Lytechinus pictus: one gene and its partner. Each later gene encodes a partner of the first gene's protein in a complex. Links are inferred from orthologs where the notes say so. Each region holds a gene or a part of one and is shown on either strand. Other genes may lie near its edges.

Region 1 (7,208 bases):
GCAGTCACAGTAGACCTAGTCTGCTATCAGTGCTATGCAGACTGTTTGAATCAGCTGTGATACACACACTGCAGATGTCGGTTTATATACATTTGTAGACTAAAGCGGAAGTAGCGTGATGAGTAAAACAATGCATTGGGCACAGCATAGAGCGAGTGGCAAAACTTTTTTTTTTAAATAAAAGTCCCGAGGGAGCGAAGCAATAGAAAATTTTTATTTATTGATTTCTTTTTTACCTTTACATTACAATCTTATTTAGAGGTGGATTTGACATGATATTTAGAAAATAAAATATCGTACACTTTTCCTCTCTTTTTGTTTCTTCACGAGATAGCGAAAAAGATTTTTGGCGTTGCGAAATTTAAATTGTAAATAATGTAATTAAAGGGGCATGTCTAGGCCTTGGCTAGGGACATAGGCAATGCTTGGGTGGTGCCTCCGGAACATATTGAAGTTCACTAATTTTTGTCTGGATTGCGACCGTTATTGCATGAAATTTAGCAATTAAGATAATTATAAACTTCATTTACATATCTACGCCATCCCATTCTTTCTTCACGTTCTTTTTTTTTATCCTCGGTAGCCTGGCCGTGTTCCCAGGTAACAATACAGCGTTGGACCAATTTACGTTGGGATTTTTTTTTACGTTGCCTCAGCGTTGGCTAGCGACGTTGCATCATTGACATAGGTGCACGCGCATACATCGTCAGACAAAAAATGCTCCAACGTTGTCTAGCAACTTTGATCCATTGCTGGCTGAATCGTCAGTCACGACGTTGCCACATTTTATGAACAACGTTGAAGTATTGATGGAAGTGCACGTACATACATCGTCAGTCCAACAATATTTACAATGTTCTACCATCGTTGTCTGGCAACAATGTTCCAACGTTATCTGGCGAAGCTATTCCAACGTCGGCTGAATTACAGCGTTGGAAAAAAATAATTGGACCAACGTAGGGAAAACTTTTCTAACGTTGCATCATCGATCGAAGTGCATGCGCATACATCGTCAGACCGATAATGTTTCCAACGTCGGATCAGCGTTATCGGCTAAAAATGTTCCAACGTTGTCTGGCAACGTTGGTTCAATGTTGGCTGTATCATCAATCACATCGTTGCTGCAACATAAGAGGGCAACGTTGCAGCATCGATGGAAGTACACTCCCGTACATCGTCGGTCCAACTATGTTTACAACGCTGGTTTGATGTTGTTTAGCAACATTGCTCCAACGTTGTCTGGCAACATCGTTCTAATGTTGTTACAACATTGTCACAACGTTATTCGAACATATTCTTGCAATCTTAAAAAAAAAAAAAATTATTGGTTTCAATGTGAAGTTTACCTTGACAACTCTTTACTCTAACATGGTGGCTATAACCGGGCATGGTGGCTCAATGGTGGAGCGTCCGCCTCATGAACGGAGGCCGTGGGTTCGATTCTCGGCCGAGTCATACCAAAGACTTATAAAAATGGAAACTTCTGCCTTCTTGCTAGACGCTCAGCATTTAGATTGGGGAAGGGTAATATTATGTCATTCAGGGCCCGCTGGTAATGCAGTTTCCTAATTGAAGTGGCTACCCTCGGTAAAAAACGTAATTTTTATTATTATTATCATCATTACTATTATTACTACTATTATTATTATTATTATTATTACTATTATTATTATTAACCCTTCTCATCCTATAATCCTAAATACCATTTACCTATCCACCGAGTGATGTCGTTGACTCCTATATGTAGAGCAACTTTGCTATACCTACCAGGCTACGGTTAAAAACATTTTTCTATAATCAATCTGGAAAATTTCACTTAGAATAACATGTTTCGATTATAAATGATATGGTAATAACTGAACCACGTACTTTTATCAAGCTTTCCATGGTGGAAATGTTGAATAAACATAAATACGTTAATCATTATAGCTGTATTATGGACTATTACCTAAAATTTTGGTTATCAATGAATATTCATGAGTGCATAATCTTTGGGTGATTTCAAGTCCGGTGTTGGCCTTGGTGTTAGTGTTGGTGTTGGAATTTGGATTACTTCCCCTAGCTCCAAAACTTATTATGAGCTTTTAAAACTGATCCAGATCACATTATTGACATCACGACAACTAGTGAGTGAATTTTCGTGTTATAATCGTGTAAAAATTGACCTAACACCAACACCAAAATATCAACACTGAACTTGAAATCATTATGTCCAGATCAGGCAGGTATGGCAGAGTTGGTGCAACGTTGGTTGGTCCAGCATCATATTTTAAACAAATCCAACGAAGTGCCATCAATGCTTTGCAAACAACCCAGCAACAAACCAGATTCCAACGTTGTACCATCTTCTTCTGTCCCACCAATCTTACTTTGTCAACACTGTATCATACAGGGGCCGCGGAACCGGGGGGGGGGGGGGCTTCAGCCCCCCCCCCACTTTTTTCCAAAACCTTGTACAAAAACGTAAAAATGACCATATGATTGTGGTTTTTAGCATGGTCAGCCCCCCCCCCCCCCCCACTTTGAAAACCGTTCCGCGTCCCCTGTCATAGTTGGTTCAATCAGCAAATCTCCATCAAATAAGTTTTCAACATTGTGCCATCATCACTTGTTCAGGATTTTGTATAAAAAAAAGACCTGATATTGTTTCTCTTTCAATTCTATATATTTCGGCTTTTCATTTATTTATTTCATTCTTTCTCTCTGACTCTGTAATAGAACAGGTCACTTAAGGCATCAAGAGTAGTAGGCCTACATGTGACGTTTTTTGAGGTATGAAGCGTTTAAAGTTTACAACTTCCTGCAATAGGAATGTGGAATCTATGACATACACTTTTCTCAAAAATGAAAAAAAAAAACAATCATAGTCTATAATCGAGACTTTTAGAGTATAAATAAGATGCATCAAGTTTTATCGCAAGTTACAATTCCGGCTAATCTACATCTAGAGTTAGGTTCATCAAGAACTTAATTGTTTCTACCCCCCCCCCAAAAAAAAAAAAAAAAAATCCTTCTGCAAATCAGTGACCCCATCTTCCTCAGTGGGAGAATCATCTACCGACACTGACTCCATGACTTGGGAAGATGCCCAGACGGATGAAGATATATCCCGAAGGAAGATGCACTCCCATTGACTCAAGATCCCCTCTCCCAAGGCCAAATTGTGAAATTTCTGTCAAACGTGAAAGGGCGGAAAAAGCCTGCCCAGATTGCACGGAACTATACATGGTTGAATCTATGACATACACTTTTCTCAAAAATATTAATTAAAAAAAAAAAAATCATAGAGTCTATGATAGAGACTTTTAGAGTATAAATAAGATGCTTCAAGTTTTCTCGCAAGTTACAATTCCGGCTAATCTACATCTAGAGTTAGGTTCATCAAGAACTAAATTGTTTCTACCCCCCCCCCCAAAAAAAAAAAAAATCATTCTGCAAATCAGTGATCCTACTAGTCTAGGAGATCAAAGTGACAAAGAGGCGAAATCCACTGTCATGCTGTACAAAAAAGTTCACTACAGAATAAAGGTCCTAAAACAGCAGCTTCTACTGCCTGAACTTCCTTTTTTTGCGGGGCGGGGGGACTTTTTCTTAAGCTTTTCCCCTATCATTTTACTTCATTCCATTCCACCTCATTTACATTTTTTCTTGCCTCTTTTCTTTCCATTTCTCGCCATAAATTCCACAGTTCCATTTTATCATCTCTAAATTTATTTCCCACTCTTTTTTACTCATCTATTAGTATTTCGGTTTGATTTATTTTTTCTCATGTGTTTTTCTTTTATTCCTTTTTCATCTTTCCGTCCGTTTGCCTTTTCAGGCTTCCCACTATCTCATTTCTTCCCATTTTCTTCTCCTTTATTTGCTTTCCATATTTTATTTGTCCTCTTTTTTTTTCATTCCTTCTTCTTTCTTTGAGTCCCTTTCTTTTTGCTTTCTTTCTTTCATTCCTTCCTTCCTTTTTTATTTCTTTCTTTCTTCTCCACTTTTCCGTTTCCCCCGGTGACCTCCGCCAGGGGGGGGGGGCAGACTGATCCTACCCCCCCCCCCCGCCTAATACGCCATCGAATGTTGGTTAGCATGGTTAGAGAAAATCCAAGCAAGCAGTTTATGCCAGTTTATGGCCCTTGATTTTGCAGGTTTATTTGCCTTGTGGGCACTACCTATACCATACTGTATTGTATATCGAAAATGGTCGTTAACTTCATGAAATTTGAGTGCAATTGAGCTGTTTCGGTTATGATAACCAAAGTTGGAAGAAAAGTATGGCTACTGCAGCGACTTCAGTCGGGGAAGAGACGGTTGTATTGCGAGGAGAGGAACCAGGCGCAAGGTGAGATGGGCTAGATGATTGTGCTCGTTGAAAAATTAGATTGAATAAGGTGGATTCTTTTCCTGCAGTTGTTGACGGACACTTGTTGAACAGCTGGGCGTACGTTCTACCGTAGTCCCGCGGGGAAGATTTTGTGTTGTGTAAAATCCGGCCCGGCCGCGAATATTTTTTCCGTAGGCCTAGCCCTAGGCCTACAATGGGAACGCTATGGAGCATGAATTATTCATAAGTTGAGCTAACAAACTGAAGTGCGCAGACGCATGGACTTCGCGATAGTTCTCTAGCTTCATCAATTTGTACATGAACGAATGGACGAGCACTGCCGATGACCCTTTCTCAAGTTTCGATTTCTCTCTTCCCTTCTCTCTTGCAATCTCCCTTCCCCTCTCTGACTCTGTCTGTGTAATTGCTCGCCTCTATGACTATCTAAGTATGCCCTGTCTTTATGGAAGCAGGAGACCGTCAAAAATACGGATATACGTCGTGTCGTAAATCAATTTACTACACGACGTAAATAATACGTAGTGTAGTAATTTGAATTACTACAGTCTGACAGTCAGTAGAGGCGCACGGCCAATATTGGAGACTGTCTCCATTCTCCAATGTGGGAGATTATCTCCAATATCAGAGACTTTTGTAAAGAATTTGGGTATCCAATTTCAGAGACAGTCTCCAGTTTTGGAGACCAATTTCCTTTGTTTACATTTGCTGCAAAAGGATTACCTTGGCGGCAAATAAAAATGTGATAAGGAGATTCCTCATGAAAAATTACCCCTTTTCACCGTCTACTTTAAAAATTCACCGTCTACTTTTGTTTTGATAAGGATTTTTGTTGTCAATCACACACAAAACAAATGGGCTTCTGACCTCAGTGAGACAAAATTTTGGGTGGAAAAAATCATGCTTTTGTTGGTGTTGTTTCGTTTGTCCTTTCGCAAAGCAAGTCTCCAATGTGGGAGATTGTCTCCCCTATTGGAGAGAGTCTCCCATATTGACCGTGCGCCTCTACTGACAGTAGGGTGTCTGGAGAAAAAAATTATTTTTCTTATTTCAAGAAAATATCACATTTTCTTTGTGAATTTGAAGAGAAATGACCTTCAGACTGACAGAAATGTAACATTTTTGAAAAAAATCCAATTATTGGCTGCAAAAAAGAAGAATGAAATTAGGTCAATTTTCAGCATTTCTCTGCCATAGACTGTGTAGTTAAGAAATGGACACACACAAATCCAAATTTTTAGCTTCCGAGAGCTGTTAATACATTTATTATTAATGCCAAAAACTTGTCCATAAAGAGTCCAATAGGATTTTTTAATGCTCTTTCTGATGGTATGATTTTTATAAAGATTTGGAAACCAGATCACAATGAAAAATTGCGACAAAGTAAAAAAAATTGTGCAAAACAGAAATTTCATTTTCCCATAGAAAACGCATGGGGAAATGGCAATCTCAACACACACAAAAATAAGGGTTTGCAATTTATCTCTAAATCCTTATTTAAAATGATCATATAGACTTGTCCTTACTGTCAAAAGAAGCCCCTGAATTTTCTCTGTCCATACATGCCAAACACAAGATAATAATTCAGATCACATTTTTCTAGTAGCCTGAACTTCCCGAAAAAATGTGCCATATTTTCCCCTAAATCATCCTGTTTTATGCTGACACTTTCCAGTGTGGCTTCAGACACCCTACTGACAGTACGTATTATTTACGTCGTGTAGTAAATTGAATTACGACACGAAGTATATTCGTGTTTTTGACGGTCTCCTGCTTCCATATGTCTTAGCACATGCTCTGCCTCTAGCTCTGTTTCTTTATGAATCATGAATGAATTGACTCGCCGTAATGTCCTCGTCACCCCCATCTGCGAATATCAGTGTTTCTTTCTCTATGATGGCCAATTTAGTTCCTTTTCTCTTTGGTCCCCCCCCCCCCTCTGGGAAACACTGATATTTGCAGATGTGACAAGGACATTACGGCGAGTCAATTCATTCATGATTCATAAAGAAACAGAGCTAGGGCGTGTGCTAAGTAAGACAGAGCATAGAGGCGAGCTATTACAGACAGAGAGGGGAAGGGAGATTGCAAGAGAGAAGGGAAGAGAGAAATCGAAACTTGAGAAAGGGTCATCGGCAATAGCGTTCCCATGTACGGAAAAAATATTCGCGGCCCGGCCGCGAATATTTTTTCCGTACATGGAAACGCTATGGTACATGAATTACTCATAAGTTGAGCTAAAAATCTGAAGTGCGCAGGCGCATGGACTTCCCTAAATAGTTCTATAGCTTCATCAATTTGTACATGAACGAATGGACGAGCACACTCTTGTACATAAATGAATGGTCTCCATTCCAATCCCCTGTTTCTGAAGTTTCGATTTCTCTCTTCCCCTCTCTCTTGCAATCTCTCTCCCTTCCTCTCTCTCGCACTGAATGTCCTCGCCATCCCCTCCATCTAAATTTCTGTTCCTTATATCTCTAGCCAAGTTCTTTTTTTCTTTGCGTTCCCCCCTTGCATGAAATCACCTCTCTCCATCTCTGTTTCTTTATGAACCATGACTGATGATTGGACTCGCATAATGTCCTTGCCACCCCCTCCTCCCTCTAGTTTCACTCCCCCCCCCCCCCTTCTTGCACTCCTATCTGTTTCTCTCAATTTCCCTCTTGCAATAAATCTCTCCCCTTCTATCCCATCTCGCATTTTCCCTCCACCCACCCTCGCTCCCCGCTCAAATTTGTCGATATACTCTAGTCTTTACTAATTGATATAACAGCTAAATATTCGCACAGCTGAAGTTTTCCTCAGCTGTCAAGAAAACCACGGGTCTCAAAGGCAACTTTCTCATGCACTCTGAGTATCATTTTCCATCGCT
Region 2 (7,799 bases), on another chromosome or scaffold:
CCTCATGTGTACAATGTTGGTACAGATTGGGTTTTGGGCGTGGCATTAAATTTTGCCGCTTACGGTACTGGTCATGTGACTTTAGGGATGAAAGTTATTTCCAGATGAATGTTTATACCTTTTGCAAGAAAAGCATGATTTGTTTGATTATGATCATGTTGGGGTAATCAGGAATTTAATCAATTGGTATTTGACGCTTTTAGAACTTTGAAGCGGTTACTATTGTTTCGATATTCACTGGTCGCCAAACAGAATTTGATAATTGATAAATTGTGAAAGCATTTTAAAAACTGATGATTATTTTTATCATTAGTTTCGCTCGCCGTATCTAAAATAATTTTAGGGCTATAATTATTGAGATTGTTCTTTTTTAAATCGCATACTAGATGAAATATAAATAGGGCATGCTGACGTGGCTAATTTAATGAACGCCATGTTTAGGGTGTGATTTATTGATGGAGCTGACTTGGCTTATACACCACTAAGGGTGAGTGACTATTAATAGTTACATGTTAGTATACCAGATAATTTGTTCCATTTTGATGTGAATTTATATGGATTTGTAACGCAATTTGACATGCCGTGTAGGTTTTATCCCAGACGGTTATTGATTTATGGCTCATAAATCAATAAACGGCATCATTGTTATATACATTATTAAAAGGAAAAATAATTTAATTATGAAATTATTAATATATCGCAGAAAAAGAAATAGAAATTACTCAATAGTATTTCGATCGTACCTGGTACAAAATACTATTGAGTAATTTCTATTTTTAATGCTACTGTATGTGTTATGGTGACTTGCCAAATGAAATCAATCAATCAATAAATCCATCCATCCATCCACCAACCAACCAACCAACCAACCAACCAACCAACCAACCAACCAACCAACCAACCAACCAACCAACCAACCAACCAACCAACCAACCAACCAACCAACCAACCAACCAACCAACCAACCAACCAACCAACCAACCAACCAACCAACCAACCAACCAACCAACCAACCAACCAACCAACCAACCAACCACCCAAAACCAAAACCAAAACCAAAACCAAACCAAACCAAACCAAACCAAACCAAACCAAACCAAACCAAACCAAACCAAACCAAACCAAACCAAACCAAACCAAACCAAACCAAACCAAACCAAACCAAACCAAACCAAACCCAACCCAACCCAACCCAACCCAACCCAACCCAACCCAACCCAACCCAACCCAACCCAACCCAACCCAACCCAACCCAACCCAACCCAACCCAACCCAACCCAACCCAACCCAACCCCCCATCCCAGGGCCATGCATTATGAGACAAAATGTACCCCAAATCTGTTGACTCAATAAAGGGATGGTCAGGGCTGAAAATATTTATATCTTAATACATAGAATAGGGTTCACTGAGCAAAATGCTGAAAATTTCATCAAAATCGGATAACAAATAATAAAGTTATTGAAGTTTAAAGTTTATTTTGTGAAAACAGTCGTCATGAATATTCATTAGGTGGGCTGATGATGTCACATCCCCACTTTCCGTTTTCTTATGTTATTACATAAAATCATATTTGTTTTCATTATTTCATACTTGTGTGAATAATATGTCTCCCATATCATGAAATAAGTTGCAGCAATAAATATCTAATGCACTAAATCAGTTGTCAATACAATTTTTCTAGTTCTTGGAGAAAAACTTTGAATAAACCTAATTTTTTATATAATGCCTGGGGTAACGCTGCTAAAGTTCATTTGGATGGGTTATTTAAAGTCCAGAAAAGGGTAATTAGACTAGTATGTGGAGTAAGTTCACGATCTCACACAAATATTTTGTTTTATGAAAACAAGTTCCTTAATTTACATGACATATTTGATCTCAACCTTGGTTGCATTATGTATCAATTAAATAAAAGAGAACTTCCACTTGCCCTAGAAATGACCAAATCCATTTTTACTATACAAGACAAGTTTCTTTTCTCCACTTGCCATTGGTCAAAACTAGTTTTCGGCTAAATACATTTGTTTATACAGGGCCAAAATTATGGAACTCCCTTCCTTCTTCATTGAACCAATCAGTTAGCCTTAGTGTTTTTAGAAACAAGTTAAAGACCGATTTACTGAAGAAGTACTTAAATCAGTAAACGAATACCTGCTTGTTATATCTCGTCTAACTTTAGAAATTGTATTCTTCCCACAATTATCTATGCAACAATAGAGCTTTGCCTATTTTCTTTATATTTTCCTCTTTTCTTTCTTTTCGAATTTCAGATTCTTATACTTTAGGTCTAATAGAATGTTTGCATTCTGCATTTCACCTTTTTGTTACTTTTTAGTGTATCTTTTGTAAATATGTATATCTGTACTTTGGTTGTTTACTCCAATTTTTTGTTTACTTGTTCTATGATGTTTTAAAATGATTCACGCTAATATAAGTTTTTAACATTCTGGTGGCATATGGCCAACAAGCGGCTAAGCTTCTTAGTAGGTCACCACGTTTCATTTCCATCTGTTCTCATGGGTGTTACTAATGTTCCATAAAAAGTAGTGCATGTATTATGTATATTATCCTGTAATTATTTACTTTTGTTCTTTGCTATTTACTTGTTCTCCCAATAATTTACTGTTGTTATTGTTGTTGTTTGATATCGGAATTGAAACGAAATAAAGATTCATTCATTCATTCAAAATACAAAAGAACAAGTGGAGATGTGACGGGGATGTCCACCTAATGAATATTCATGACGACTGTTTTCACAAAATATTGCTAAACTTTAAAATTCAATAACTTTGTTATTTGTTATCGTATTTTGATGAAATTTTCGGCATTCTGCTGATCTGCTCAGTGAATTCTACTCTATTTATTAAGCTATAAATATTTTCAGCCCGGACCATCCCTATAACACCACTCTGTCTCTCTCTATATACCGTATATACAGTGCGTCCCAAAAAAAACTATACACTTTTGAAATGGCTGCCAAATAAAAAATGTAGCACTTTGGGGGAAAAGACTTATAGATATGGAAAGCCAATAAAGTCAACTTTCAAATGACACCAAAAAGTTGGAAAACTATTCATGCTTGAGCGAGCACTGCCCACTGAAACAAAGGGTATGAAAATTAGGGTGGGCCGGAATTAGCCTTCCAATTTCTTTCAGGTTTTTTTGTTTGGTACTTAAAAGTTGAGGGTTATTTGGTGAATTAAAGATCATTTGTGATCAGTTTGTTGTTTGTGTAAATTTAATGCGTTATTAAATTGAAATTTAATGCATGAGTGATCATGAATTGCAATTTTTAGTGCAGCATTTTGTCTTTATCATGTGGATCTCAACAATGTGTTCATGAGAGTCAGGAGAAGAGGGGGTAATATGACTTAGGTAGGTGAAGTACGTTGATGGGATAAAGGTCAACAGAACATTTAAGCAACCCCTCTCTCCATCTCAACCCCCACTTCTCTTCTGAGAGATTAAGCTCGGCTAGACTGGGCAGGAATTAGCCTTACAGTTTTTTGGAGTGGTTAGTCCTTTGGAACTTGCTAAGCTAAGGGTGTTAAGCTAAATTGATGATAAGATAAGTAAGATAAGTTTTGGTTTCTTGGGCAAATTTCACGAGTTACTAAATTGAAATTTAATGCATGAGTGAGCCGGAGTTGTAATTTTAGTGTAGCATATTCATCTTTTGGACCTCAGAAGTGTGTTCGTGAGAGGAAGAGTAATATGATGGTACCTGTTACAAGCAAGAGGGCGAGATATGCTAAGACTTGGTTAAAAGGGCATTCCTCTTCTTTTTGTCCTTTTTACATATTAATAGTCATATGTACCATCCCTTCTCCACCTCCATTTCCCAGCCCCCCCCCTCTCTCTCTCTGTCTCTTTTCCTGGATTGTAGCCTATTCAAAACTTAACTGCCAAGTGACCGGTGGCTGATGGTCAATTTTTTTTTTGGAATCATTACCAAGAAATTTAATGATTATGATGATTAATGAAATAATTTATTGAAAAAAAAATGAATGTTTGATTGATCACATTGCACATTGAATGAGTTGATTTACTAATAAATTGTTGATTCAATGATTGATAGGAAAAAGTTGATGCCCCAATTCAGAATTTATCATTAAATCGACATTCTGCTCTGGACTTCACGCATACATGACAATAGCCATCAGTCTCACAACAGGAGGGGAAGATGGGAAAGAGGGAGGGGGAGGGTGGGAAAGAGGGAGGGGGCGGGGACTCAATGTTCTGTTGACCCTTATTCCATCAACCTGCTTCTCCCACTTAAATCCTATCTCACCCCCTATCCTCCAGACTCCCATGAACACATTGCTGAGATCCACATGATAAAGTTGAAATGCTGCCCAAAAAAGAGATCCAAATGATAAAGTTGAAATGCTGCCCCAAAAGTATAATTTATGCTCACTAATGCATTAAAGTTCAATTACATAATTTATGAAATTTGCTTATGCAACCAAAACTGGTCATGGTTGATCATTAATTTATCACAACGCCCTTAACTTTGCAAGTTTAAAAGGATTTGCCTCTTAAAAACTGACACAAATTGGAAGGCTAATTCCAGCCCACCCTAATTTTCATACCCTTTGTTTCAGTGGGCAGTGCTCGCTCAAGCATGAATAGTTTTCCAACTTTTTGGTGTCATTTGAAAGTTGACTTTATTGGCTTTCCATATATGTAAGTCTTTTTCAGCAAAGTGCTCCATTTTTTATTTGGCAGCCATTTCAAAAGTGTATAGTTTTTTTTGGGACGCACTGTATATTCCAATCCCACAAAATTAACGACACCATAATCCTAACTTTTTGTTCAAGGAATTAAGGACGTGATACGCGAAGACGAAGTCGAAGAAAGAGACCTAAAAAGTACCTTATCTGGAATAATGACCTCTCAGCGGAGCATAGTGAACCTTTCAAATTTCTTCATCTACAATACAAATATAAAATGCAGAGAAGGAGAGGTGAGAATAAGTTCTTTCCGAGGCCGTGTTTCTGTCGCTAGCACTAGCTAGCAGCAGTAGCACTGCTCCGTATATTATAAATCGAGTACTGGTGAGAATCTGTGGTCCCATTAACTTGATTCCGTGGAGGTGCTGTCTTGGCTATTGCCGAAAGATGTAGCCGTCGGTGGGGCGCTAATGCAGTTTCGCACCGGCCAACTTCGAGCAAATTTCCCCACCAGGAATTGTTTACAAATGTCATGGCAAGTCTCTCAGTCACATTTCGAGGTCAATATTCCCACTGCTTTTCTAAATATCGCGATCGGGAACGGCTGCATTTACATGATTTAGGCTTTGCTTTTTGCCTTTGCTATTCTTGACACTCATTCAATGTCAATGAACAAGGTTATGAATATGATATTATAACCTAACCCAGGGAACTCCCGCCTGCTGTGCGGGCGGGAGCCCAGGAGCTTACCGTGTATTTGACCATACTCACGGGACTAGGGTGATTTATGGTCTAAATATTTCTCCAAATGAATTATGAAAACAGTAATCATGCACTTACCACGATTATATATGGATGAAGCCAAGGTCTAACGAGTGGCAGTTTCCTGACATCTGGGCACAGACTGGAACCTCAAAAAACGAAAAGTTCTCTCCTTCTACCCCCGTCTCGATCGGCCATTTTTGTTATGAATTGTAACAAAATGGCCGATCGAGACTGGGGTAGAAGGAGAGAACTTTTCGTTTTTTTGAGGTTCCAGTTTGTGCCCAGATGTCAGGAAACTGCCACTCGTTAGACCTTCGATCCATATAATCGTGGTAAGTGCATAATTTCTGTTCTCACAATTCATTTGGAGAAATATTTAGACCATAAATCACCCAAGTCCCGTGATTATGGTAAAATACACGGTAAGCCCCTGGGCTCCCGCCCGCTGTGCGGGCGGGAGCTCCCTGGGTTAGATATAACCTTGTTCTCAGTTATATCTCAGTCCATGTGTGGCAAAATAAGGATGGCAATGTTTGGCTTATTTTCTCTTTTTCTTTGGGACAAATGCTTGATTTTTTTACACTGACAGTTTCCATTACACCTATTCATCATACAACTTGGCCCTTTAGTAAATTTGATTCTTTAAATTATTTTTTTCTTAATTAAAAATAGAGACAAAAAATGAAAATTTTCTTGCTATATTATTTCAGAGCTGCCAACCATTACGTTTTTGCCGTAATCATTACGTTTTTTCATTCAAATTACGGCATTATGGTTTTTCTTTTCAAATTACGTTTTTTGACAATTTTGATAATGTATGTGGAGTGCTAGATGAGCCTGGTACTTGCTCGTGCGTAGTCGCCCGCCAGCCGGTTTTCCAACGCACTTTAATAATTTGATAGCGTGCACGTACATGTACATTAGTTGAATATGCGAGCGGCATGCATGGTACGAATCGCGATGTATAGCGACTGGTAAATACGTCTGTAAGGATGATGACGTTATCCAAGATGGCAACTTACGATGACAAATGAAAGGATCGAGGATGATTATGTTTTGATCATCATTTGAAAGGAAATAACAGTAACTGCGGTCTAAGGTACAATATCTCTGAATTTTATATATTTTATCTTAAATTTGCATGTAATTTCTTTCCTATAATTAAAGTGATGTTTTATGTACAAAAAAACGATCCGAAAATCAGATTTCCGCCGAATGTTAGATCTAACGTTACTGCTAATACATTGTCTTTAAGCACGGGCCAACACTCTTCAGGTGAGTGGAGCCAACGTTTGTTCTTGCAGCGCAGAGCGAGGAGTACGATGAATTGGGTAGGGTAATTCCCCAAATGTAGTAAGAGAAGAGTCAATTTGTAATGGAGGGGGGATTTGGAGGTTTGAGGGAAATTATTATTCCATTTGCAAAATTTTACAAAAATACTCATCATATATATTAAAGATTGAATCATCAAAAGATATTTTTCATATACTTTAAAATTAATTGTAGTGATAAAGAAATTAAATTTTGAGGCTATTTTCTTGAATTGATTAATATCGATTCCCTTCGGATAACGGGACTGTCTGGTTAATTTTCATCAACTCGTATCAAACAAATACGATGAATTCGGCTTTGAAAAGACCTGGAAAGCTCTTCATTGTCCCCTGAAGTAATAATTCTGGGTGATATTCAACATTTATTGATAGTTTCACATGATTTATACTAGAGAGATGTCCTACTGCCTTTGGAATTCATTAAAAAAGTCGGCACTTTAGCATTCAGTTTAGCAGGAATGGGAAGATTTCTTCCCCGGTTCTGGCGGCCTAGATGTCTGCTCTATAGTGCTGTCACTGCTGGGGATGATTGAGTGTGCGTGCAGTGTGATTGAGGCTGAGCTGTGCACATCGTGAAGTGATTTACGATGGGACTTTTGTGGAATGATTTCAACTTATCTATAGATCTATTTGAATTTTAGATTAGATTGATTTATGAATAATTTTTCTATATTTGTGGAATGTTACATGTACACTTCCATTTTATGACACTTTAATTTTAAAGGGTACTGTTTGGCAAAAACAATGTTACTTGGGAAGAGAAGTCTGAATTGATGTCAACTTTTTTTTTTATTTCTCTTAGTCTACAATTTGGTAGTTTTGTCAGGAAACTCAACATAAAACAAAGAATTATTTTAGAAGTGGAAAGGAAGCCCCAGAAAAATGGAGCCCTAAAAATGTTCACCAGAACTGATTTTGGTGCCCCTGAAAGAATTTTTTCTCGACAGATCTTCACTTTGATAAGTGCCGGAGTAGGTTGCACTATAAAATGAAAGGCCTACTTGTCATTTTTAGAAAAATTTGCCTAGAATA

Evidence for each region.
Region 2: the proteins of protein SAND-like (region 1) and vacuolar fusion protein CCZ1 homolog are in contact, whole or in part, in a cryo-EM structure (PDB 8JBE), measured with the Drosophila melanogaster proteins. The link is inferred for Lytechinus pictus from reciprocal best matches to the Drosophila melanogaster genes Mon1 and Ccz1. Residues at the interface, in NP_608868.1 of Drosophila melanogaster: Trp112, Gln113, Phe120, Leu142, Val145, Ile146, Leu149, Phe152, Val153, Gln157, Asp158, Ala159, Ile160, Thr161, Ser162, Ile163, His164, Ala165, Gly166, Ile168, Phe170, Phe172, Arg185, Arg459, Ser464, Arg465, Pro466, Leu467, Lys468, Leu469; in NP_647835.1 of Drosophila melanogaster: Lys48, Gly51, Leu52, Ile56, Phe59, Thr60, Thr62, Phe63, Thr64, Asp68, Cys69, Gln70, Ala71, Leu72, His73, Thr74, Gln75, Lys76, Thr77, Ala114, Glu115, Ala412, Asp413, Asn416, Pro427, Ala428, Glu429, Glu430, Val431, Gln432.

Annotation. Positions count from the first base shown.
Region 1 is NC_087263.1:8,031,060-8,038,267, reverse strand, and holds the start of protein SAND-like, read left to right. Parts: upstream 1-4,192; 5' UTR 4,193-4,265; coding exon 4,266-4,333; intron 4,334-7,208. UniProt on the Drosophila melanogaster protein: Part of the Mon1-Ccz1 guanyl-nucleotide exchange factor complex specific for Rab7 that promotes the exchange of GDP to GTP, converting Rab7 from an inactive GDP-bound form into an active GTP-bound form.
Region 2 is NC_087254.1:25,997,922-26,005,720, forward strand, and holds the start of vacuolar fusion protein CCZ1 homolog, read left to right. Parts: upstream 1-4,792; 5' UTR 4,793-4,886; coding exon 4,887-4,964; intron 4,965-7,799. UniProt on the Drosophila melanogaster protein: Part of the Mon1-Ccz1 guanyl-nucleotide exchange factor complex specific for Rab7 that promotes the exchange of GDP to GTP, converting Rab7 from an inactive GDP-bound form into an active GTP-bound form.